6 linked regions of the Rattus norvegicus genome follow. Each later gene encodes a partner of the first gene's protein in a complex. Links are inferred from orthologs where the notes say so. Each region holds a gene or a part of one and is shown in the gene's direction. Other genes may lie near its edges.

Region 1 (3,500 bases):
GGAATCCAACTGAAGTCCAGTTAGTTCTTAATCACCGGGACATCTCTCCAGCCCCTTGTTTATTTGTTTGTTTGTTTGTTTGTTTGTTTAAGAAAGGAAGGAAGGAAAAGTGGGTTGGAGAGATGTCTCAGTGATTAAGGGTACCTGTCACTGTTGTTGTATAAATATAAAAATAAAAAAGTAACGGTTGTCTTTTTCCACACTTGGTCCGCACCTCGGTGCCCCAGACATCTGCTAGGTATCTTGGCGGAAACACATCCCAGTTGCACACTTTCCTACACTCAAACCCTCACATAAAAGAACACACAACACAATAATCTTTGGCCCAATTGGTAAGATATAATTGCCCACTTGAACACACAAAGCCCGGTACCATCCATCCCTTAGGAACATTGATAACCTGTAAATACACAGAGCAGAATCTTAACATCACCTGTCATGGCTTCTCCCCTCTCTCCTCCTGTCTCCTGTCTCCTGTCTCTTCTTCTCTGTCCCAGTCTCCTCCTCTTCCTTCAAACTTCTCTCCCGCCCATTCTTCCTTCTCCTCCAATGATAGGCCTCCTTCTATCCTGTACCTGCCCCTCACCTGTACCTTACAAATTCTATGGGGAAAAGGTTCTGGTGAAGTCACCTGATTCCTGAGTATGTGACTAGGCAGCTGTCCTTGGGGCAGTGGAATTAGCATCAAAATACAGATAACTCCAGGGCAAACCACAACTTGTCACTCTTGCAGAGCTGTTTCCAATACTGGCTTGGTGGCTCACAACCATCCATTACTCCAGTTCCAGGAGATCTGACGCCGGTTTCTGAACCCCTCTAGCATCAAATGCATATACGGTGCACAAACATGCATAAAATAAAATGAATAAATCTAATTTTAAAAAATGCTTTCAGGGGTTATTTATGAAGAATGAGGAAGATCTTAGCGAGATGGCTTGGGGTGTTTTATTGTATGCATTGTGTATCAGCTTGCTAAGTGTTTGAGGAAAGAAAAGTGTAAAACTGAATGTGTAAGGGGCTAGAAAGATGACAAGGTACTTCCTCCTCTTTCAGTGAACTCAGGTTAAGTTCCCAGCACCCACAGCTGCTCACAACCATATGTAGCTCCACTTCCAGTAATCCAATGCTGCCTCTGACATCCATGGGTACCCAGGCGTACATGAGATACACATACTTACAGGCAGGCAAAACACTCATACATAAAGTAAATGTAAAATGATATGCCACCCTTCATGTAAGTACAGAGGACTATTACCCCCTCTCCCTAAAACTAGATCATTATCACAAGAAATCTAAGTTGTTTAAATAGAGGCATCCAAATGCCAGGTTTAGACAAATGTGTGCTTCTTATAATAATGCTTAATTTAAAAGGAGAGTGTAAAAAAAAAATCTGCTCGTTTGAACAGAGAAAATACAAGAGAAACTGGATTTCAATAAGAGACCCATTGTTGGCCAAGGGTAGATGAGAAAGAAGTGGGGGTAAGGGGTTGGGGGTGTGGAAAGAACATAGTTAGGTAAAGGGAAAGGTTGTTACTCAGAGCTGTTTGACTGGTAGAACCACAGTGATATTCCATTAAACCTGGAAAAGTAAATAAGTAAGAAATTAAAAGTAACCAGGATTTGGTGAAACTGGAATATAAAGAGTTGCAAGTGAGTCTAGGTTACAAATGAATACTGTGGAAGGGTGAGAAGAAAACTGAGAACATTGTATCCAATTGTACTCTACTGCAAAGTTTATTTCTCTGGGGAGAATGGTTAGCCCCGAAACAATGTATATACTGAGGAAAAAGATATATGGAATTATGGGATAGATAACGACAGCCAGGTTTCTCCCTACCTCCGCCTCTAGAGATTTGGTACTGAGATTCAGAGAAAAAAAGTTACAAATAAAAAAAAAAAAAAGGCCGGAATGAACCATGAACATGAAGTGGGAAGTGAGCTATTAGTATGAACTCCTGGCTTCTTGATAGATGGGGAACTAAATGAGGACCTGATGTTAGTTTATATTCTTTCTAGTTCTGTTGCTGAGATGGTCTAGAATTCTACAGCAAATTTAGCACCCATATCCTGGTTTTTGAATACTATATTGCCAGTAAGAGGAACCAGGGCTCCTTGGGGAAGGGCAGGGAAAACTAACCAATGGCCTGGGTGAAACAAATATCAGATTATAGCACAACATAAAATAGATATCTATGAGTTGTGCTGTTATAAGAAAACAGTGGGACAGAAGAGACAGGCAGCCTGTAGCTATCCTGGAAACTATCTCATACAACACTGTCCTGTAAAGGGCCAGGTGGGAGCATGTGTATTTCCCTTCAGCAAATGTGGGAAAAGCATTCATAGTACTTACAGGAACAGGCATGGCTGTGTTACCGCCTAATTACAGAAACAAGTAGCTCACGTGCATTAGTTTGTGGACTATTTTAGAAGGTTAAATATTTTAGATTGTATGTAACAGGTCTGGTAGATCGAAATTGGGGTAAACAGGACTCGGGTTAAGACAGTTGTGTCTGTAGCTCTAGCAGAGCATAGCCGTGTGTGTGTGTGTGTGTGTGTGTGTGTGTGTGTGTGTGTGTGTGTGTGTGTCTGTCTGTCTGTCTGTCTGTCTGTGCCTCCATTTTGCTTGCTTTAGTGTGTGTATTCTGTACATCCAAACATGCCGGGCCTTTGTAGTCAGGCACATCTGACATGAAACCATAGATTTCTCATCATTAGGATAAGTCACTTCTGAGTCTCTTCCTTATATTAGGCTTGTAGTATTGTTAGTAGTGTGAGAACAAAATTTGGTGAACCACTGAGAGAAAAGAAGGTTATGTATTTCTGGAAGGGAGTCTGTGAATTTGGGATCACAACCTGAACCTTGTTTCTTTAGGAAGACCTTCGGGTGGATGGCCGTGGCTGTGAGGACTACCGATGTGTTGAAGTAGAGACTGATGTGGTGTCTAACACCAGTGGGTCTGCCAGAGTCAAGCTGGTGAGTTCTGTTGTCACTGTTCATACCCAGGTGGAGAAATGGGTCAGTTACAGGCCCTGCTGTCTTGGGGGAGGGAGTGCACATTGGTCCTGAGGAGACCAAAGTCCCTAAGCCATAATGGGAGAATATATCTCTCCAGACCCAAAGCACTCCTCATCTTAGAATACCATATTCTAAGCTGAAACAACAGAACTGTCTTGAAGAGGAATGTGTTGTTCCTGAGCAAGGACTCTTGGATGTGTCTGCAGGGTCATACAGACATCTTGGTGGGAGTGAAAGCAGAGATGGGGACACCGAAGCTGGAGAGACCAAGCGAAGGCTACCTGGAGTTCTTTGTTGACTGGTCAGTACTGTGCAGGTGGTTTGAAAGGAAAAGGAATCCTTGGGATGTCACTTGGGGGTAGAGTGTTTGCATAGCATGTAGGAGGCAGTGGATTCAGTCCCTGCTTCCCACCCACACATACATCCCCTAAGAAAGATTCAGAAAGCGAACCCTGTCATGTTCGTTTAGTCACTCATTTTTCTT
Region 2 (4,084 bases), on another chromosome or scaffold:
TATCCAGATAAACAAAAAGCGCGGGGCTAGGAGCCAAATTCTGGACGTGGCAAGTGTGAGGCAAGCATTCTGCACTGTGGTACATCGCCAGATCGCAACAGCATTTGGAAGTGTTATCCTGCCCTTATCAACAATAGATCAAAAGAGATTCCGAGTTTTCTCGAGTGTTTTCAAGAAAAGTGGGCAGCCAAGCACCGTAGCGCACATCTGTAATATCAGGACTTGGGAGACTGGGACAGGACTATCTCCAGTTCGGATACCTATCTAAGCATCTGGGTGAGCTAAAGGCCATCCCAGATGAGTGGGTGAGATCCTGTCTCAAAAAAAAAAATAACGTGGGCAAAGGGTCCTGTTTGAACTTCTCGCTCTGTCTCCCTTCATGATCATCTTCTGTAAATGACAGTCATGGAAAAGTCCCTCGCCTTGAATTTTGGTCAGGGGACATAGGAAACAAACGAGTTTCTTGCTCGACTCCCTTTACAATTGGAATTTAAGTAATGTAGAACCCTATGAAAACCTGATCTGTCCTTTCAACCCCCGTCTCATCCCTTACTCGTCTCCTTCCATCGAAGCCCGCAAGTAGCTGCCTTGCTTTTGCTCTAAAGGGAGCCTTCCCTTGAATTTCTCTTCAAAAAGTTTCCCGGTCCTTTTCTTTCTGAATCTGCTCTTCCTTCACAGCCCGCGGTGCCCCACGCACACTGTAACAATAACAGTTACGTCTCTATTTCTCCCCAAGAAAGACACTGTGGGGGCCAGGTACTCACGAATCTAGCCAAGCCCCGAGCCCCAGGTCGCCCCAACAGCAAGAGGGCAGCCTGGCGCAGGCCACGGCTCGGCCTCCAGATCTTGGCCGCGGACATCGCTACCGCCATCTTGGCTAGTAACCACTCCTCCTTTCTCAGGAGATAGACATGCGTCTGTCCCATCAGATGCCTTATTCAAATCTCAGCACCACTAGGCCAACGCACTATTTTCTTCCAACCGCCTAGCAACAAAGACGTAGAAATAAGTAAGTTGACCATTTTTATTCTTTAAAATTGCTCCAGTCGTCTGCTTGGAGTTGTTCCAATATCAGGCAATAAAAAGGACAACCTCACTTGAACCTCCAGGGTTCAGGGCCCGGGGCCTTGGGCAAAATGGGCCTAGTCCAAGTCCTGCCCCTTATTCCCTATTCTCCAATGGCTTTGCCAGAATTGGGAGGTGGAGGTGGGCAGGACCAGATTGTTAGTAAACGCCGAGCCACGTGCTAGGGCCACTTCGGGAGTGCCCTAGATTGGCGCTTGCGCGGTAGGTACACGGCCGGTAGAACTGCGCGTGCGGCTGAGCGGAAGCTACGGTAGGAGCCCCAGCGCGCGTGGTCAGCGGCTATGGAGGGAGCAAAGCGTGCAGACGCCAAGGTACTCACTGACACCGGAACAGAGTCCAGCCCTCGAAGTCCAGTCTGCAGCCTCCGGCACTTTGCTTGTGAGCAAAACCTGCTGTCCCGGCCGGATGGATCTGCTTCTTTTCTGCAAGGTACGACTTTAACAAGGTTTAACTCAGCGCGCGCCATCCTCACCGAAGAAGGGTTTTTGAAGAGCGGTTACTGTGTAGTGTGCAACCAAGTACGCCCACCTCCTTGGAGAATTTATTTCTAGATATTGCGTATACCCACCTCCCGACTCGAGAAGAAATGATTTGGCCAGGCTGGTCAATACCTCTTGGAAGAAATCCAGGGCAAGACCCCTCTCCTAAGAGTGAATATTCCAGAATAGGTGTTTCACCAAGGCAAATATTATCCTTGACTAGATTTCTTAAAAAACACTTCTGGATCCATACATCATCGGTTGAGGCTAAGGTGTTTATTTGCATAAATACCCTTTGAGACAGACACATCACCACTACTGGTTTAAATATAATTACTGTGGCAGGTGATATACCTAAGTAAATGCTCTGAAAATTGAACGTGATCCTCCCATCCTGGGCTAACAAGTAGCTCCCCTTCTCTGGTCCCATCATTTGAGAAAACATGCCTTTCCTTGGTATACACGTCTCATCAGGGTAAATGAATAGAAAGAAAAGAGAGATCTCGAGGCTGAGGCCCACATAACCCTGTATCCCAGTCCAGCCAACCAACTTTGAGAGGTCATGGGAGGGTAAAAAACTACCAGAGTAGACAAATGAAGAGGACAAAGATGGAGTTGACAATGGGGAGTTGTGTTTGAGATATTAAGAGCTGATCACTTTATGGCTAGTAAGTTAGTGTGGGGTAGTGGTGGGTCAGAGAGAGCAAGAAAGGACAGTTAAGACAACTGTTCAGGCATTTTCCTGGGAAGGGATCTGGTAGATGGGACAAGAGTTGAAGACTGACAGGAGCTTAAGAAAAGAAATAACACCTTTAGTCACAACACTTGGGAAACAGAGGCAGGGTCTCTATGAGTTCGAGGCCAGCCTGGTTTGTGGAGAGGAGTTCCAGGAAACCCTGTCTTGGGGAGAAAAAAAAAGGGAGACAACCGGGAACTGGAGAGATGGTTTGGTGGTTAAGAACACTTGTGGCTCTTGAAGAGGACAAAGTTCAGTTCCCAACATCTATTCAGGAGGCTGTCAAGCACTTGTAACTCAGGAGCTAGGGGATTAGAAGCCTCTGCATGCAGGGACACACACACACACACACACACACACACACACACACACACACACACAGAGAAAGAGAGGGGGGGCTTGCACAAGCATGCATGCACATAATTAAAAATAAAATAAATCCTAGGGACTGAAAAGGGGAGAATTTCTGTAGCCCCGTTGTAGAGATGGTGGGAAAGAAGAGACTATTTTGCTTGCCGAGAGCACAGTTTATACAGCAGAACAGGAACAGCTACTGTGTAGCTCTAGTAAGCACCTGAGTCTAGTTGGGTCACTTCTGGTTTCAGGGCAGATGTTGGCGCTAAGACCCTGTCCCATTGGGTTTCCTTGGAAAAGCACCCGCAGATGTAATAGTGTTCTCATCCCAGGCTGGCTCCTGGTTTTGCTCACTTGCTAAACTCAGCGTCTCCTGTCTCTCGAGATATAAGAAATAGAATGGGAACCCTTCCATGTTCTAAAACTCTAAACCACGGGGCCCTGGTGCAAATTGGAGACCTTGCAGACTTTCAAAAAGAATGTTGCAGATGGGGCTGGAGAGATGGCTCAGTGGTTAAGAGCACTGACTGCTCTTCCAGAGGTCCTGAGTTCAATTCCCAGCAACCACATGGTGGCTCACAACCATCTGTAATGGGATTTGATGTCCTCTTCTGGTGTGTCTGAAGACAGCGACAGTGTACTTATATATAATAAATAAATAAATCTTTTTAAAAAAATGTTGCAGACACATCTGACCTCAAAGGCTCCTGCAAGAACACCCTATGGGAGGGGGCGTGGCATCAGTGAGCAGTGCAAATGATGGGTATATGTGATAAATGACACACTAACCCTATTACTTCATAGCTGACCTCATTAGGCTCCTCTTGCTCTAATAAGGACCATGACCAGAAGCAACCTGTGGAGGAAAAGGTTTGTTTGGCCTACATACCCCAAGTCCATTGAAGCAGGAACTGAACCATGGAGGAGCCCTTGCCTTTCATGGCTTGCTCAGCCTGTTTTCATTTATAACCCAGGACCACCTGCCCAACAGCAGCGCCGCCCACAGCGAGTGGGACCCTTCCATATCAGTTGTTAATCAGTGAAATGCCTTGGGTCCGGGAGTGTGTGAATTCCCCTGCAGACTTGCCTACAGACCCTTCTGATGGAGGCAGTCCCTCAGTTGCCTCAGTTGAGTTTCCTCTTTCCAGGTATGGCTAACTCGTGCTGAGTTTACCAAATGCAAAGCAAAGGAAGTAACTAGCCAGCACAGTGTCTTACCTTACAAGCAAAATTGATAAAAAGAAAAAAACCCAACAAAAACAAAACCGATGGTACTGAACCCCTAATCCTAGCAGCAGGGAGATAAATAAAGGCAGGAGGAGCAGCTCGTGCCAGGGTCACTCAGCTGCACAGCATGGGCGAGGCCAGCCTTGACCACACAGAACCTGACTGCAGAAAGTCCAATGGAGGGCTGGAGAGATGGCCCAGT
Region 3 (3,191 bases), on another chromosome or scaffold:
CCTTTCAGCAGCCCTCCGTCCTGATCCAGCAGTAACTGGAACGCGCCTGGAGCTGTCCTGTGATTCATTGCCCCTTTCCATTCTGCTCTGAGCCATAATGTCAGCGCCATCTGTCTAAAGTCACTACCCAGGAATGCTACCTAACATCCTGATCACGTCTAGATGAGGTCACTCTGCCAACCTGAGGCTTCTAGGTCTGCAAGTGGGAAGGAAGCCTTCCACTGCAGAAAATAAAGGACCATGTGCAATACTAGATGATACCACGCTCTCCTTTCTCCTGAGGTTGACCTCAGCTCCCTATACATGCAGAATACAGGCTGTGTGTGGTTCTGGCTGGTTTCTGATTGATGTTATCACAGAGTACAGCCTCAGACTCCTGAACTTGAGGAACGGCCCCTGGGAGAGCAGAGCTAGAGGCAGAATGGGTGGGCTGAAATTGAGGCATTCAGTAAAAGGGGTGGAGGAAAATTCTTCTGAATTGCTTCACATGAAGAAGCACCATTCTTAGTCTCTTGGGACAACCTCATAATGGCTTTCATCATGTGTGTTCAACGTGCCTCCCCTTGAAGCTGCTGATATGAGGTCAGACAACTAATGTAGGAGGTATGAATGTAGAGATGTCTTCTAGTAACTGCCCCATCCCTGCTTCTTTAACCTGAAATAGGTTCAAGACCCTGGCTCGGCCCTAAAATGCAATTTATATGAATCTACAAACAGCAGGGTCTGGAAGCTGAGATACTGCTTGCTTATGACAGATCTCAGAGTGTTAGAATTATTATTCAGTTGTAGGAAGAGAGATAACGTCCATTTATTAAACAAGTGTTGAAGCAAGCCAGGGGACTAACTACAGGAATGAACAAAAAGTTCTTTTTTTTTTTTAATTAATTTATTTATTTCATGTACATGAGTATCCTGTACTCAGACACACAGAAGAGGGCATCAGATCTCATTACAGATGGTTGTGAGCCACCATGTGGTTGCTGAATTGAACTCAGGACCTCTGGAAGAGCAGTCAGTGCTCTTAACCGCTGAGCCATCTCTTCAGCCCGAACAAAAAGTTCTTACCTAGGGCAAGCTTATATAAAACAATCTGAATGCAAAATTCAAGGAATGACAGTAGATCAGGTCCTATGGAACCACAGGTCCAGCCAATACCTCGCCGTTCTTCCTCCATTCCGCTAGGTGGCAATGCGGAAACCTACCGCTCTCCCGATAGGCTCCGCGCGGGCGCGTATCTTTAAGCGAGCGGAAGAGCCGGTGCGCAAGGCATCCTGGCAGGCGGAAGTAGCTCGTACGCCGGTAGCCGCCATGCCGGGAGACCACCGCCGCATCCGAGGGCCAGAGGAGTCCCAGCCGCCGCAGCTGTACGCGGCCGAAGAAGACGAGACGCCCGCTGCTCGCGACCCGACGCGCCTACGACCGGTGTACGCCCGCGCAGGGCTGCTGAGCCAGGCTAAGGGCTCAGCCTACCTGGAAGCGGGAGGTACCAAGGTGCTGTGCGCCGTGTCCGGTCCGCGGCAGGCCGAGGGCGGTGAGCGCGGCGGCGGTCCCGCCGGAGCGGGCGGTGAAGCTCCGGCTGCTCTCCGGGGTCGCTTGCTCTGCGATTTCCGTCGCGCGCCCTTCTCCGGTCGCCGGCGTCGCGCGCCCCAGGGCAGCAGCGAGGATCGTGAGCTGGGTCTGGCTCTGCAGGAGGCTCTGGAGCCCGCTGTGCGCTTAGGACGCTACCCTCGTGCTCAACTCGAGGTGTCCGCGCTGCTGCTGGAGGACGGCGGCTCTGCGCTGGCCGCGGCCCTCACCGCTGCTGCGCTCGCCCTGGCCGACGCGGGAGTGGAGATGTACGATCTGGTAGTGGGCTGCGGCTTGAGCCTCACACCGGGGCCCTCCCCGACTTGGCTGCTGGACCCCACGCGACTGGAGGAGGAGCATTCTGAGGCCGGCCTCACGGTGGCGCTCATGCCCGTGCTCAATCAGGTGGCCGGGTTATTGGGCAGTGGGGAAGGCGGCCAGACTGAGAGTTGGACCGATGCGGTGCGCCTGGGCCTGGAAGGCTGCCAGCGCCTCTACCCGGTGTTGCAGCAGTGCTTGGTGAGGGCTGCCCGCCGGAGGGGTGCCGCCGCCCCGCCCTGATTGGAAAACTTGAGCGACGAGGATGCGGAGGACTGCTATCGCCCTTTTCTCCCAAAAGGACCAGCGCTGATGGTTGCCCGATTTCGCTGAGCTGAGACAGGAGAGTGGGGGAGTGGTGCGCACAGAACCAAAGCTCTGCACAGCTGCGTTGGAAAGAAGTTTAAAAGGCCGTTGGAAACACGATCCAGTTGGAGAAATTTGAAAGCAGCCATATTCCTAAGTTGGAAAGGACTTGGGCTGGATTTACTTAGTAAATGAGACCTGGGGCTATGGCCTTGTAAGGGATGGACCCTGTGCAGGCCAGCCGGCAGCTCCAATATAATTCTTTTTTTTTTTTTTTTTTTTTTTTCTGAGTTGGGGACCGAACCCAGGGCCTTGCGCTTGCTAGGCAAGCACTCTACCACTGAGCTAAATCCCCAACCCCAATTCTTTTCTTTTGAGAGGATGGACAAGGGGACTTTGCCTTCTCACTACTCGAAGTAAAACATAAAAACATTTTTATGCCTGGAAATAACATGTGTTGTGATTTTTCTTGAGTTAAAAACAATGCTGTTCAGAAATGGGTGTGTGTTGATTGTGTGTTGTCAAGGGTCCAAGTCATTACTGCCTTAAGTATTCCTGTTAGCCCGCTGTAAGAAAGAAAGGGTTATGTGCTTTGGAGGAGAAACCAGCTGCCCCGGGAGCATTGTCTAGGGCAGCTGCCGAGGGGATAAGACTGAGCAGATTTCAGGACAGCCAGAGCTACACAGAGAAACTCCCGTCTGGAAAAGTCTGGGGAGAGTTCAAAGGAGAAGCCTGGATGCACCCCTGTCCTTTCCTTTAGGACAAAACCATGTCTAGGAGTTAGGTAACTGAAAAGGATTATGCTCTGGAAAGAAGCCGGGTCCCATCCTGGTGCCTGTCCAGGCTTGGCTCCTGGGAACAAGGGTCTGGGCAGCAATGGTCTACTAAAATGCAGACCGCCTAATACTGTGGTATCATTTACAGCCTGGCTATTAAGGCAGAGCAGGCCTGACTGACCAGTATAGGGACTTATCCTGTTCTTCACAGGCTGAAGTGGAGGA
Region 4 (3,992 bases), on another chromosome or scaffold:
GCAACAACTGCAACAGGAGAATAAAAGTTACATTTGTATCTCACTACGGATTTGCTCGTCACCTGTGGCTGGCTTTTACAACAGTCGTCTTTCAGAAGAGGTCTTTACTAAAGCACACTAAAGCCATAGGAGCACTAGGTGAGGATCCAGACCAGCACCTAAGGGTCAACTCCACTGTAGAATACAAGGCCCCCTAGGAACAGTATTCACTATCTTCTGCTCAGATAGTGGTTTAGAGTTGGATGGCAAACTCAAGGTTCACTTCTCAATCTCTAGACTTGACCAACAATAAATAAAATGATGAAATTGGATAGTTTGGGTAAAAACTCATACAACTGAGCATGGCGGTTTACGCCTGTAATCCCAGCTCTTGGGAGATAGAGGAAGAGGAGTTCAAGGGCATCCTGGGTTACACAGCCAGTTTGAGACCAACCTGGATGACATGAGACACTATCTTTAAAAAATTTTACACGGGGCTGGGGATTTAGCTCAGTGGTAGAGCGCTTGCCTAGCAAGCACAAGGCCCTGGGTTCGGTCCCCAGCTCCGAAAAAAAAGAAAAAAGAAAAAAAAAACTTAAAAAAAAAAAAATTTTACACCTGGGCTGGGTTCAGAGGTGGAGAGCACTGGCTGCATTTCCAGAGGACTTGGTTTCGATTCCCAGCACCCACATGGCGGATCACAAACATCTGTAATTCCAGTTCCAGGTGCTCCAACAACCTCTTTTGGCCTCTGTGGGCATCAGACACTGGAGTGTACGGAGACAAACGCAGGAAAAACGCTTATACACATAAAACAACAAACCAATCAGATGCGAAAAGCACCATTCGCACCACCACCAAAACCACAACCTACTCAAACTCATGTAATCGGAGCGTTTGGGAGGTGGAGGCATGAATCTCTGGAGTTCAGCAGGGTTATTCTCAACTGTACAGTTTGTGTCCAGCCATACACGGGACCTTTTCTCAAATACAAACGCCAAACCAAACCAATTCCCTTACAAGTCATATTCCCTTACAACGTCTTTCCGCGGGTGCTTTCTTGCCAATAGTAAACATGGCAGCTTGGTACCCTCTTTTCTTCGAGTTAACTTAATAGTTGCCAATAGTCAACATGGCCGCCACACTATACATTCCATTGGTCGCTTCTCTGAAGGTGGGCGGGAATTGAGGCGACTGTGTGGAGCTGCGCCTGCGCAAGTCATTGGCGCCAAGATGGCGTTGGAGATGAGGCTCCCTAGGGCTCGCAAACCTCTCAGTGAGAGCTTGGGCCGCGATTCTAAAAAACATTTGGTAGTGCCAGGGGACACGATCACCACGGATACAGGCTTCATGCGGTACGTGAGGATTTGGGGGTCCCAAGGCCTCAGGAGACGGCTGCAGAGCTCTCTGCACGTGGCCCGCTGCCCGGGAACCCAGGCCTCCTGTCCCCTTGTATCTAAGTCACCGAATACCTGGGACACCTCAGAGCATCCTCCTTTCCGAGCCTCATGCTTCTGACTTCCTGCATCTTGGGTGCTCCTCTGTCAGTTCCTGATTTCTCCTTTAATCTATGGTGTCAGGAACTTTTGAACCCTTATCCTGAAACTCAAGATTTTTGAGCTTTCCTGGGGAGGGCTGGGAGCAGGACCCTTCTTACAACCCTCTGAAGAGACAGTGGGTTGCTGGCTTGGTCGTTTCTTTCAGTGTTACCTCAGCGACGAGCCTGACTTTGAAGCAGTGATTTTCGTGGGGTGGGGGTTGAGGTAAGCATTCAGTACATACTGTGCATAGATGCACCCAATAATACAAACTTAGCAGGCTATCGGAACTTGTGGTACTTTGGGCCTGCTCTGGAGTCGTGCTCTCCTTAGCTGTAGCACCTAGCTAAGGCCGGTACCCTCACCTGGAAGACGGTGGTGACAACAGGAATTGGTAGAATCGGGAGTATTAAGCAACTGAAAAGTGGGGGCAGGAAGCAAAATTTCAGCAGTGGCCTGAAAAAACCTGGTTGTTTTTTCTTTCTGGTACAAATGAGATTATGGTGTTTATAGCATTGCCTCTAGACTTTATGTTTAAAGTATTAGATGACAGGTATCTTAGGATTCATTTCTTCATACTTGCAGCATAAGTTCAACATAGTCCCTGTGGTTGGGGTACCAAAGGCGGGGTTTATCATCTAGCAAGGAACAATAACAGTAAATGCCACAAGAACGTCGTAAATGCAGACGAAGGGGGAGAAGAGGGGTGTAGTTGGCAATGGGGTGGACCAGTGGGGATCCCTGTGTTGCCTGGGATGTGCAGTTCTGTTGTTGGAAAGTGACATTCGAGCACACTTTTTTTTTTTTTTTTCTTTGTTCTTTTTTTTCGGAGCTGGGGACCGAACCCAGGGCCTTGCGCTTCCTAGGTAAGCGCTCTACCACTGAGCTAAATCCCCAGCCCCTCGAGCACACTTTTTAAGATGGGGATGTCCACATGGCTCTGTGGAGGCAGGGGGAGCCTGTTAGGTTCAAGAACCATGTTCTAGATGCTCCCATGTTACCTCCAGTGTAACACTGCTATCCTTTCTTTGTGGTCTTGTCCTTGCACAGGGGCCATGGAACATACATGGGGGAGGAAAAGCTCATTGCGTCAGTGGCCGGCTCTGTGGAGAGAGTGAACAAGCTGATCTGTGTCAAAGCCTTGAAAACCAGGTGAGGACAGAGGTGTGTATGTCATTCTCGGAGCATCTGGGTTGTACACAGGCCTTCTCCGTCGTCTCCCCATGTCATCTAGGATCATTCCTGTCACACGCCTGCTAGGTTGAATGTGCCTGTTTGTCACAGTTAGTGCCGGCAGCCAACTTGACACAAAGCTGGAGTTACCTTGGGAGCGGAAACCTAAAGCTAAGAATTGTCTCCATCAGATTAGCTTGTGGGCATGTCTGTGGGAGCATTTTCTTCATTGGTAATTGATATAGGCAGTGTCACCCCTGGACCAGTGGGCCTGGGGTGTGGAAGGATGGGCACTGTGCTGCAGGCCTTTTATCCTAGTACTTGTGAGGCAGAGGCAGGCAGCTCTCTGTGAGTTCCAGGGCAGCTCTGTGTGTGTGTGTGGGGGGGGGGGGAGAACAAAAACCTGAGTCTGGGAAGCAAACCAGCCAGTAGTGTTCCTCCACAGACTCTGCCTCAGTTCTGGCCTCCAGGTTCCTGCCTGGCACTCCTCCGTGATGGAGTGTAATCTGTAGGCCTAATAAACCCTTTCCTTCTCGAGTTGCTTTTGGTTGTGGTATTTATCACAGCAACAGAAAGCAAACTAGGACACTACAGAAGGTGTGAGCTTCAAAGGTTTCCTCACGTCACTTGATCCCTCCATGCGTTGGGCTTTCCTTTTCCACATCATAAAGAAAGTAACCAACTCAGGATTGTTCATTCGGAATTCAGTGACCTGCTACAGTAAAGTACTTACACACAGGGCCCAGGACCTAGAAGAAGCCCATAAAGGTGCGTCCAGAAGGGAAGCAATGAGCCTGGGACTGATTAGTCAGGCAAGCCGGAGCTGTGGCAGCCAAGTGGTCACCCTGCCTGGCAATGACAGTGAGGACTTGGGCTTCGTACTGTACCAATTGGGAAGCCCTTGGAAGGGATCAAGCAGAAGAGAGCAAGAGAGCTGTGATCTGACCTACGTCTTCATCACTTGCTGTGGTTGCCATGGAGACAGTGAAGGGGGACAGGGCATGTTTAGGGAGCTGGGCTGGGGAACTGTATTCATCTGAGAAATGACCGAGTGATGGCAGGCATGGCCCTCAGCAGTGGCTATGTCCTCTGTATGCCTTGCTTTCAGAGTGTCCTTTGAAAGGCTGTTGCAGTAACTGATGTGTTTAAGGAAAGCTAACAGAAGGAATAGAGATATTTTTAGTTCCCCGTTTCCAGTCTGGATGTCTTTGTTTCCCTCACACATTTGGAGGTGCCTTCAGCAGGGTCTGTGCTGTGCTTATCCCAGAGTGTGACAGGCATCAAGGTTTCTGCCTAAGCATG
Region 5 (4,131 bases), on another chromosome or scaffold:
ATTCTGGTTTCCCTAGTACTATCTGTAAGCATGAACCCTCCTACCCTCTCCAAACCCCACGCAGCCTTTCTTTGAAGCTGCCAAGCTTGTATCAAGTTAGGAGGTTGGGGAAGAAGTTAGCCATCTTGAAAACTCAATACTTATTACCTAGCCATGGCCCCTCTCCTGTCTGCCTGTATGTCAGTTGTCCTTACTATATCCAGGGATTAAATGGTTTGCCAGCAACTTGCCAGATTTGGAGGAAGTTTGATGCCCCTTCCCTAAAAATTTAGAAACTTAGTTGACAGCAGAGCAATCTGACGTCAGTCAATGTCAAGGCCCTCAGTGCTGCTGGAGAACAATCAAACACTCATTGAAGATGCCTACAGAAAAAAGCTGGTTTCACAGATAAGAACCCCAAAGCCAGAAAACTGGAAGTTCTTAAATTCTTGCATTGTGGGTTTGGGATTTAACAGTTTCTCACATAGCCGTTAGTGTGCTCCCAAAGAACTAACTAGCTGCAAGAATTGATCTGAGTTACCGATATTCCCAAGCCATGTAGGGATGAACTTATACTGGTGAAAAAGTGTGATGTGTGTTGGAGAAGGTGGGAGAAATACACCTAAAAATTGTTACAAGTAGTAGGTACCTTGAGCTACAAATGATCTGAAGTATAGCTAACAGCACAGCAAGGGCGACAGATAGGCACTGTAACTATTGTTCTTTGTATTTTACACAATGTAAATTGGTAGCAACAACCAAACAAGTTATATTTTGAAAAAAAATTTTTTTTTCTGGTTAAAAGCTGAGCTATCGGGCTGGAGAGATGGCTCAGCAGTTAAGAGCACTGACTCCTCTGGTCCTGAGTTCAATTCCCAGCAACCACATGGTGGCTCATAACCATCTGTAACAGGATCAGGCGATGCCCTCTTCTAATGTGTGTGTACTCACATAAAATAAATCTTAACAAACAAACAAACAAACAAACAAACAAACAAACATACAAACAGCTGAGCCACCTTTCTGTAGGCAGAGTAGAAAGGTAAGGCCTCCAAACTAGCCACTATTCAGTTCCCAGTGGCACTCAATTCCAGCGTCCCTTGATTGTTAAGTCGAAAGATGAGACTCGGAAGTGAGGGCTCACAGATGGACTCTACCCGGGGAGATTACAAGATGGGTGGGTCGCTAACTACACACACAGTCACTCGGAGGAGGAGTACCCATGAGCTGAAGCGACTAGCTCCAAAGCTAAAGTCTAATTCAGAAAAATCTCACAACCACCGAAAAGGGATAACCCAGGTGGACGGGTAGTGGATGCGGAAGCGGAAGCGGAAGCGGAAGTAGACTACCGGAAGTTGCAATGGTGATGCCTGCCATGGCTGAAGTGTCCGCTGGGGCTGAGTCTGTGGCGGGCTGCCGAGCACGGGCAGTGCACAAGGTGCTAAATCAGGTGGTTCTCCCTGGGGAGGAGCTGGTGCTGCCGGACCACGAGGACGCAGACGGCCTTGGGGGCCCCGGGGAGCAGCCGTTACGCCTGAATGCGGGAGCGCGCCCGAGGCTGCGCATAGTATGCGGCCCGGGTTTGCGACGCTGCGGGGACCGTCTGCTGGTCACTAAGTGTGGCCGCCTGCGTCACAAGGAGCCCAGCGGCGGCGGCGGCGGCGGCGGCGGCGGCGGCGGCGGCGGCGGCGTTTATTGGGTGGACTCGCAGCAGAAGCGGGTAAGCGGATGTCTGAGAGGCGGTGCTGCCCCCAAAGTGGGATCCCTGCAAGTGCGATCATAGGTTAAGGCGAGTCTAGAGCGGCGGTGGCTTCTAGATCTCTCTCTCTCTCTCTCTCTCTCTGCATCTTCTTTAGAGGAACCACAATAGGAACATATCCTGAGAAGGGCGAAAGGAGAGAAAGGTTCCGCGAGTTCTTGTGAAAAACCCAAAGCCATTTGGTGTCCCAGTTGCAATGAGTCCAAATCACAGGGAGTTAAATTTCCCATAGAATAAGAGCTTTCTCTTAGGAATAATGACTAATGGAATGAGTTTCCTTGAATGTAAAGATTCTTGTGCCACCAGACTTATAAAGGATGCCGAAAAATCTTGAAACTTGATTCAAATCAACTGTTGATTTAGACGGTGTAAAGTTTTACTGGTGCGGGCCGGTTTTGTAGTTCCAGCTACCCGGGGAGTAAGTAGTTGGCAGGGTTGGTTGAGACCAACCCTTGGTAACCTCGATGAAAGTTGCCGAAGATATTTTATAGTAGTATTTGTATCATTTATGATTGTTCTTTTATTCTGTTTTGTAGTATGTACCAGTGAAAGGAGACCACGTGATTGGCATAGTAGTCGCTAAGTCTGGCGATATATTCAAAGTTGATGTTGGAGGGAGTGAGCCAGCTTCTTTGTCCTACCTGGCATTTGAAGGGGCAACTAAAAGAAACAGACCAAATGTACAGGTAATGATGGTTTCAACAATAAGAAAAAATGTCCACTCCCTAGAAATTTAACTATCCAGAGGGCTACCTGAATTGTCTTTAAAGCATCAACTATCCCTCCAGTTCTCCAAGGTCGTTTATTAGATTCTCGGTTGCTGCAGCTCCAGAACCATTGCTGTGTATCACGTTAGCAGTCTTGGTTCTTCTCTACCTGGTTGGCAAGTTACATCTGTGTCTTCCTTACCTGTCATGTCCGAATCCACCCAGGACAATGGCCCTAATGTAAGGGCCACCGGCACTATTGTTATCTGTTCATGGTCGCTGTAAATCCTTGGAGCTGACAGAAGAGTTGTCTTGTTTCGACAGGTTGGGCTTTCTGGGTAGTTTAGCCATATCCTTCTGAATACCTGAGCTACAAATGAGATGAGCTCTCTCCTGCTTTTTGTCAGCTCTCGAGGGTCTTTAGTCGCTCAGTCTTATCTGTTCTTCTCTTTATCTTTGCCTGTCAATCCCTTTGTCTCCACAGGGTCAGGTGTCTGCTCCCTTTTGACAGGAGTGGGCAGCAGTCTTGTTGACTTATTAAAAAAATCTTATTAAGAAAAGGATTGTTTAAGTTATAAGGAATCCACTGGCATGGTGCACCTGGGGTCTCCCCTCACAGCTTGTTGCTCCACGTAACTATATTAAGCTTCACAGTGTCACTGGGTTCCCTTCCTTCCCTTGGTCTTTGTTAATGGGGTCCCTCTGTTTGGAGCTGTATCCTCAGCCTATGAGACACCACCCTTGAGGTCCAGGCTGAGTGGGACTGCCTATAAGGTCATCATCTCTTTTCCTGTATATTTACCACAGCCCTGGGTTTATTCTTGATCTGGTTCCTCAGTTTATTCATTCTCACTGCCCTGTGCAAGAGCACATGCTCCAGGAAGGCAGAAAGGGGTTATGTCCCGCCAGGTTTTGTAATCACCCACAACAGTGGGGACTTAAAAAATACTTTTAGAGTATGCATAGGGAAGTGTTTTGTCCACATGTATGTTTCTGCCCAGTGTGTGACAGCTTCTTGTGGAGGTCAGACAGGAAGGTCAGGTCCCCGAAACCTGAGTTATAAACAGTTTCGAGCTGCTATGAGGATGCTAGAAACCAAAGCTGGGTCCTCGGCAAGAGCAGTAAGCACTCCTAACCCATGAGCCATCGCTCCAGCTCAACAGGGAGGATTTTTAATGTTGAATGACGAGAACAGATTTATTGTTTCCTTAGCTTCATTTTAAAGTTCAGTTTTGTAATATTTTAAAGCCAATTTTCCATGAAGTAGTGTCTGAATTACTGCTATCCCATTTTCACATTCCATTGAATATGGGTGTCATGAGTTTTTCCTTCCTCTAGACAAACATAATTGTTAGTACTGATAGAACATTCTCCAGTGATGCTGTTTTTGTTTTTATATCTGCTCTGACTGATGCAGTTACCACTAGTTACATGTGGCTGCTGATGAGCTGAAGAACTGAATTTTATGTAAGTTAAGTAGATATAAAGTTAAATATGAAATTAAGGTAAGCTACATGCAAGTTGAACAGTTCAGTTTTGAAGGCTGTCCTTAGGCCTTGAAATGGCTTCTGGTTGGAGGATTTCATGGGGTGTGAAGGGAGGACTGAATTCTAAGGATCATTAGTCCCTTAGCTTGAGAACTGGGTCACTGGCATTCCTGCCCATGGAAGAGAACCAGCAGCAGCA
Region 6 (4,160 bases), on another chromosome or scaffold:
GTCCCCAGCTCCGAAAAAAAGAACAAAAAAAACAAAAAAACAAAAAAAAAAAAACACCACAAACAAACCACCACAAAATTATTTATTCTGGGTGAGAAAATAAGACAACATACTCAGAATCAAGACTCACAAGCCCTCCACAATGAATAGCATTCCTTAATTATCTGCTCCTACAATACACAGGGTTGTTAAAGAGGACTCAGTGGGACTATAATCTGCTCTATCTACCCCACAGGTATGAAGCAAACAATAAAAATATACCTCCAAGCTAGGTGTCACGGTCCCACCTATAATCATTATAAGAGCACTAGGGAGGCTCTGGTAGGAAGATTGCTAGTTTGAGGCCAACCTGAAATACATATCAAGATTTTCAAAAAGCAACAGCAACCAGGTGATATCGCACATGCCTCAGATCCCAGCACTCTGGGCAGAGATAGGCAGATCTGTGATCTCAAGGCCAGCATGGTTTACAGAAGGAGTTCCAGGACAACAAAGGCTACAAAAAGAAACCCTGTCTCCAAAAACAAGCAAACCAAACAACAGCAAAAAAGGGCCCATCACCAACAAACACAACAAAATCTCAGGACTATGTATTTCATATTCTGAGTGAAAACACTCCCAAATGTATACTAAGTGACCGAATCTTTAAAAATAATCAGAACTCCAAAACCTACTATACAGGTGCATATAGACAACCGCAGGCGCTTTGTGCTTGCATCCAGGCTATAGAGAAAACTTACTGGCCAAGGTAAGGGAGGGAAACTTATGGATTTAACCAAGCAAATGAAAAAGAAAAAAGAAAAACTAAACTAATACTGAGCCACAAAGATAATAATCACGTGTATGTGGAACAAAAAATTGTGCTTGGCTAAACTGACCACTGTAAAAACCACACGGACGAAAGACGAAAAAAAGAGAAGGACCAGATTCCAGCACTCACAGTGGCTGCCCCCTTCTAACCTCCGCAGCACTGAGCACACACGTGACGAAAAGACATACAAGCAGGTATGCTTGTTCAATACATTCGTACAATAAAAATAGATATACAGTTTTTTAAAGGGCCAAAAAAAAATAGTCTCCGCTGGGACCAGCGCCTCCGACAAACCGAGGACGTCCGGAAAGAGAAGTTTGTCTTCAAGGCGTACCTACTTCAACAACCGAGGAGAAGCTGCAAAAACCAGCTCGGCTCGGGCCTTTGATTTCCCGGAACCGAACGACGTGACTCGTACATTCAGCAGGCCGGGGAAGCTACGAGCCTTGCACCGGAAAGGGACTAGTTTACCGGAAGTTATAGCTCTCCGAGACTGAAAAGGAAACGGACCGGCGGAAGTCGTAGTCGCGGAAGCCCAGGTCATCTAAGGGGTCGTGCTCTCGGAGGCGGAGCGAGGACTGCGCAACATGGCCGGGCTGGAGCTCCTGTCCGATCAGGGTTACCGGATAGACGGTCGCCGCGCGGGGGAGCTGCGCAAGATTCAGGCGCGGATGGGCGTGTTTGCGCAGGCCGATGGCTCGGCTTATATCGAGCAGGGCAACACCAAGGCACTGGCGGTGGTCTACGGGCCTCACGAGGCGAGTAAGCGGCAGGGATTGGGGGCTCGTGGCCGCACGACGAGGAAGTAGACCTTACAGCTTAACTCCTCTACCTATGCAGCAGTATACTAAAATCCCATCTTTGAATTTCTGGGGTCCTCCCTGGCAGAAAGCATCTCAACACACGTTGTCCCACCGTGTTGTAGGGGAAATGATGTGCGTGCATCTGCGAGGACCTGGCTTCTTCTGATTTCACCTCACGAGCTCTTTCCCTTGGTTAACTTCCATTTCAATCCTTCCTTTGTGTTACATCCACTAAGCCATGAATATAATTATACCCCGAGTTCTGAGTCCTCTCGGGGAATTGCATCCCTAACATGGCCCTCAAATTTGTATAAGTATTAGGTCCCATGATGAACTGAGAATATTGGTTTCTTTAAGAACCCAGTTATGTTATGTGATTATGTTTTTGTTTTAATCCCACGGGTGGGATATGGGGCTGCTTCAGATTGTCCACAACTACTATGATTGTCTCATGCAGGGACTGGGGGCTCATGGCTGCACATCGTGGGAGTGGACATGAGTCTTACTGCTTAACTCCTCCGTCTCAGTGGGCCTCTTTTCTCCTGGGCTGCCCTCTTCATCTCTGAGGTGCCTCATACATCCTGGCAAAGCTACACTCAGTCCCTGTTCTTTCAGTCCAGTGTTTTGACATCTTGTCCGGAAAAGGCCTCCCAGGCTATTTCTGCCCCTGCTACATCGATTTTCCTCAGTCTTCCATGTCTCTTGTCTCTCTACTGGAATGTAAACTCCCAAGACAGAGACATTATAAATTGCCTGCCTTTGCTGCTTTGTCTCAGTGGTGTAGCAAGGCCGGCAAACATGCACATTTTAAGGGTTTTTTTGTTTGTTTGTTATTTGTTTATTATATATAAGTACACTGTCACTGTCTTTTAGACACACCAGAATGGCATCAGATCCCATTACAGATGGTTGTGAGCCACCATGTGGTCGCTGGGATTTGAACTCAGGACCTCTGGAAGAGCAGTCAGTGCTCTTAACCAATGAGCCCACATTTTAAGGTTTGCTAGCAATTTGCTCAGCTTTCTAGGTGGAAGCCAGGTCAGGTCTAGAACACATTAGGCCAGACTACTGGTAGACCGAGGGACAGTAGATCAAATAAAGTTGAGTGGTTAACCAAGGAGATGAGGACCCAGGGCTTTGAAGGTCGGGGAAATTGAGATTTTCTTTTACATGTAATGAGAAGCTTCTGGAAGGTAAGTAAAATATTAGTGTGTGGGTGACACAGTCAAATCACATGTTTGTAAACATGGTGACCACGATGGGAATGATTTAGGAAGAAATGGAGCAACTAAAGAACAAAGGGGTTTTTTTTGCGGAAGGTGACAGTGGTGCGGCTTAGACCGAAGTGTAGCCCTAAACCGCCTGCCATGGTTTGGAACCAAAGTAGCTGCTGCTTTCTGAAGCACTTTAGAAAGAAGAGGAGGAAGGCTGAGCCATCGAGTGTGACCCAGGAGGTAGGCGGCCCTGGCTCATTCCTTCTTTTTTCCTCCAGATCCGGGGCTCCCGGTCACGGGCTCTGCCTGACCGGGCTCTAGTGAACTGTCAGTACAGTTCAGCAACCTTCAGCACAGGTGAGCGCAAGCGAAGGCCTCATGGAGACCGGAAGTCTTGTGAGATGGGGCTGCAGCTACGCCAGACCTTCGAGGCAGCTATCCTCACACAGCTGCACCCACGTTCTCAGATAGACATTTATGTGCAGGTGAGCCTCAAACCACTCCCCCGGGGGCGGGGCTTAAGGGGATGAGGTCTGCCTGAGATGCTGGAGGATGAGATGTCTGATGTCCTGATGCCCCCTGCAGGTGCTACAAGCAGACGGTGGGACCTATGCAGCATGTGTGAATGCAGCCACGCTAGCAGTGATGGATGCTGGGATACCCATGCGGGACTTTGTGTGTGCATGTTCGGCTGGTTTTGTGGATGGCACAGCACTAGCGGACCTCAGTCACGTGGAGGAAGCAGCTGGCGGGCCCCAGCTAGCCCTGGCCCTGCTGCCAGCCTCTGGCCAGATTGCACTGCTTGAGATGGATTCGAGGTTGCATGAAGACCACTTGGAGCAGGTGCTCGAGGCTGCTGCCCAGGCAGCCCGGGATGTGCACACTCTGCTGGATCGTGTTGTCCGGCAGCATGTGCAGGAGGCCTCTATCTTACTGGGGGACTGAGGCCAACCCCCCATATCCAGAATAAAGGCCTGTTCCTCTCCTGAACACACTGTAATGTACAGCACTTCAAAGCAGCTCAGGGCCCTACATAGCAGTTTGTACTGCAGTCCCTAAGTGGAGAGAACACTTGTGCTAGGAAGAGCAAGAGTGCTCATGCTGTGCCTGCCCAGATATCAGGGTCCACAAAGACCACCAGGGGTCTGGATTTGTATGCAAAAGCAAAGCCTTTATTCACACTTAAGCTTGGACCCTCAGAATCCTCCAAGCATCAGATTTGTGCTGAGACCTTGAACCTCATTTAGGCAAGGTTTTTATACTAGTTTGAGCAGGGAACGGGGGTCTCCAGCATAGCGATTGCCTTACTTAGCAAGGGTTGAGCAGGGAGGG

Evidence for each region.
Region 2: Exosc7 (region 1) and Exosc5 share a complex: the UniProt entries of both Homo sapiens proteins name them as parts of the RNA exosome core complex. The link is inferred for Rattus norvegicus from reciprocal best matches to the Homo sapiens genes EXOSC7 and EXOSC5.
Region 3: Exosc7 (region 1) and Exosc6 share a complex: the UniProt entries of both Homo sapiens proteins name them as parts of the RNA exosome core complex. The link is inferred for Rattus norvegicus from reciprocal best matches to the Homo sapiens genes EXOSC7 and EXOSC6.
Region 4: Exosc7 (region 1) and Exosc2 share a complex: the UniProt entries of both Homo sapiens proteins name them as parts of the RNA exosome core complex. The link is inferred for Rattus norvegicus from reciprocal best matches to the Homo sapiens genes EXOSC7 and EXOSC2.
Region 5: Exosc7 (region 1) and Exosc3 share a complex: the UniProt entries of both Homo sapiens proteins name them as parts of the RNA exosome core complex. The link is inferred for Rattus norvegicus from reciprocal best matches to the Homo sapiens genes EXOSC7 and EXOSC3.
Region 6: Exosc7 (region 1) and Exosc4 share a complex: the UniProt entries of both Homo sapiens proteins name them as parts of the RNA exosome core complex. The link is inferred for Rattus norvegicus from reciprocal best matches to the Homo sapiens genes EXOSC7 and EXOSC4.

The regions. Positions count from the first base shown.
Region 1 is NC_086026.1:131,654,063-131,657,562, forward strand, and holds part of Exosc7 (exosome complex component RRP42), read left to right. Parts: intron 1-2,872; coding exon 2,873-2,974; intron 2,975-3,222; coding exon 3,223-3,317; intron 3,318-3,500. UniProt on the Homo sapiens protein: Non-catalytic component of the RNA exosome complex which has 3'->5' exoribonuclease activity and participates in a multitude of cellular RNA processing and degradation events.
Region 2 is NC_086019.1:90,294,625-90,298,708, forward strand, and holds the start of Exosc5 (exosome complex component RRP46), read left to right. Parts: upstream 1-1,284; 5' UTR 1,285-1,367; coding exon 1,368-1,515; intron 1,516-4,084. Other genes in the region: Bckdha (2-oxoisovalerate dehydrogenase subunit alpha, mitochondrial), read right to left, coding at 765-872. UniProt on the Homo sapiens protein: Non-catalytic component of the RNA exosome complex which has 3'->5' exoribonuclease activity and participates in a multitude of cellular RNA processing and degradation events.
Region 3 is NC_086037.1:55,930,247-55,933,437, forward strand, and holds Exosc6 (exosome complex component MTR3), read left to right. Parts: upstream 1-1,276; 5' UTR 1,277-1,308; coding exon 1,309-2,127; 3' UTR 2,128-2,691; downstream 2,692-3,191. UniProt on the Homo sapiens protein: Non-catalytic component of the RNA exosome complex which has 3'->5' exoribonuclease activity and participates in a multitude of cellular RNA processing and degradation events.
Region 4 is NC_086021.1:35,359,474-35,363,465, forward strand, and holds the start of Exosc2 (exosome complex component RRP4), read left to right. Parts: upstream 1-1,192; 5' UTR 1,193-1,212; coding exon 1,213-1,334; intron 1,335-2,567; coding exon 2,568-2,669; exon of another isoform or gene 2,670-2,681; intron 2,682-3,992. UniProt on the Homo sapiens protein: Non-catalytic component of the RNA exosome complex which has 3'->5' exoribonuclease activity and participates in a multitude of cellular RNA processing and degradation events.
Region 5 is NC_086023.1:64,371,912-64,376,042, reverse strand, and holds the start of Exosc3 (exosome complex component RRP40), read left to right. Parts: upstream 1-1,331; 5' UTR 1,332-1,354; coding exon 1,355-1,699; intron 1,700-2,274; coding exon 2,275-2,424; intron 2,425-4,131. UniProt on the Homo sapiens protein: Non-catalytic component of the RNA exosome complex which has 3'->5' exoribonuclease activity and participates in a multitude of cellular RNA processing and degradation events.
Region 6 is NC_086025.1:109,927,131-109,931,290, forward strand, and holds Exosc4 (exosome complex component RRP41), read left to right. Parts: upstream 1-1,360; 5' UTR 1,361-1,398; coding exon 1,399-1,569; intron 1,570-3,106; coding exon 3,107-3,313; intron 3,314-3,413; coding exon 3,414-3,773; 3' UTR 3,774-4,103; downstream 4,104-4,160. UniProt on the Homo sapiens protein: Non-catalytic component of the RNA exosome complex which has 3'->5' exoribonuclease activity and participates in a multitude of cellular RNA processing and degradation events.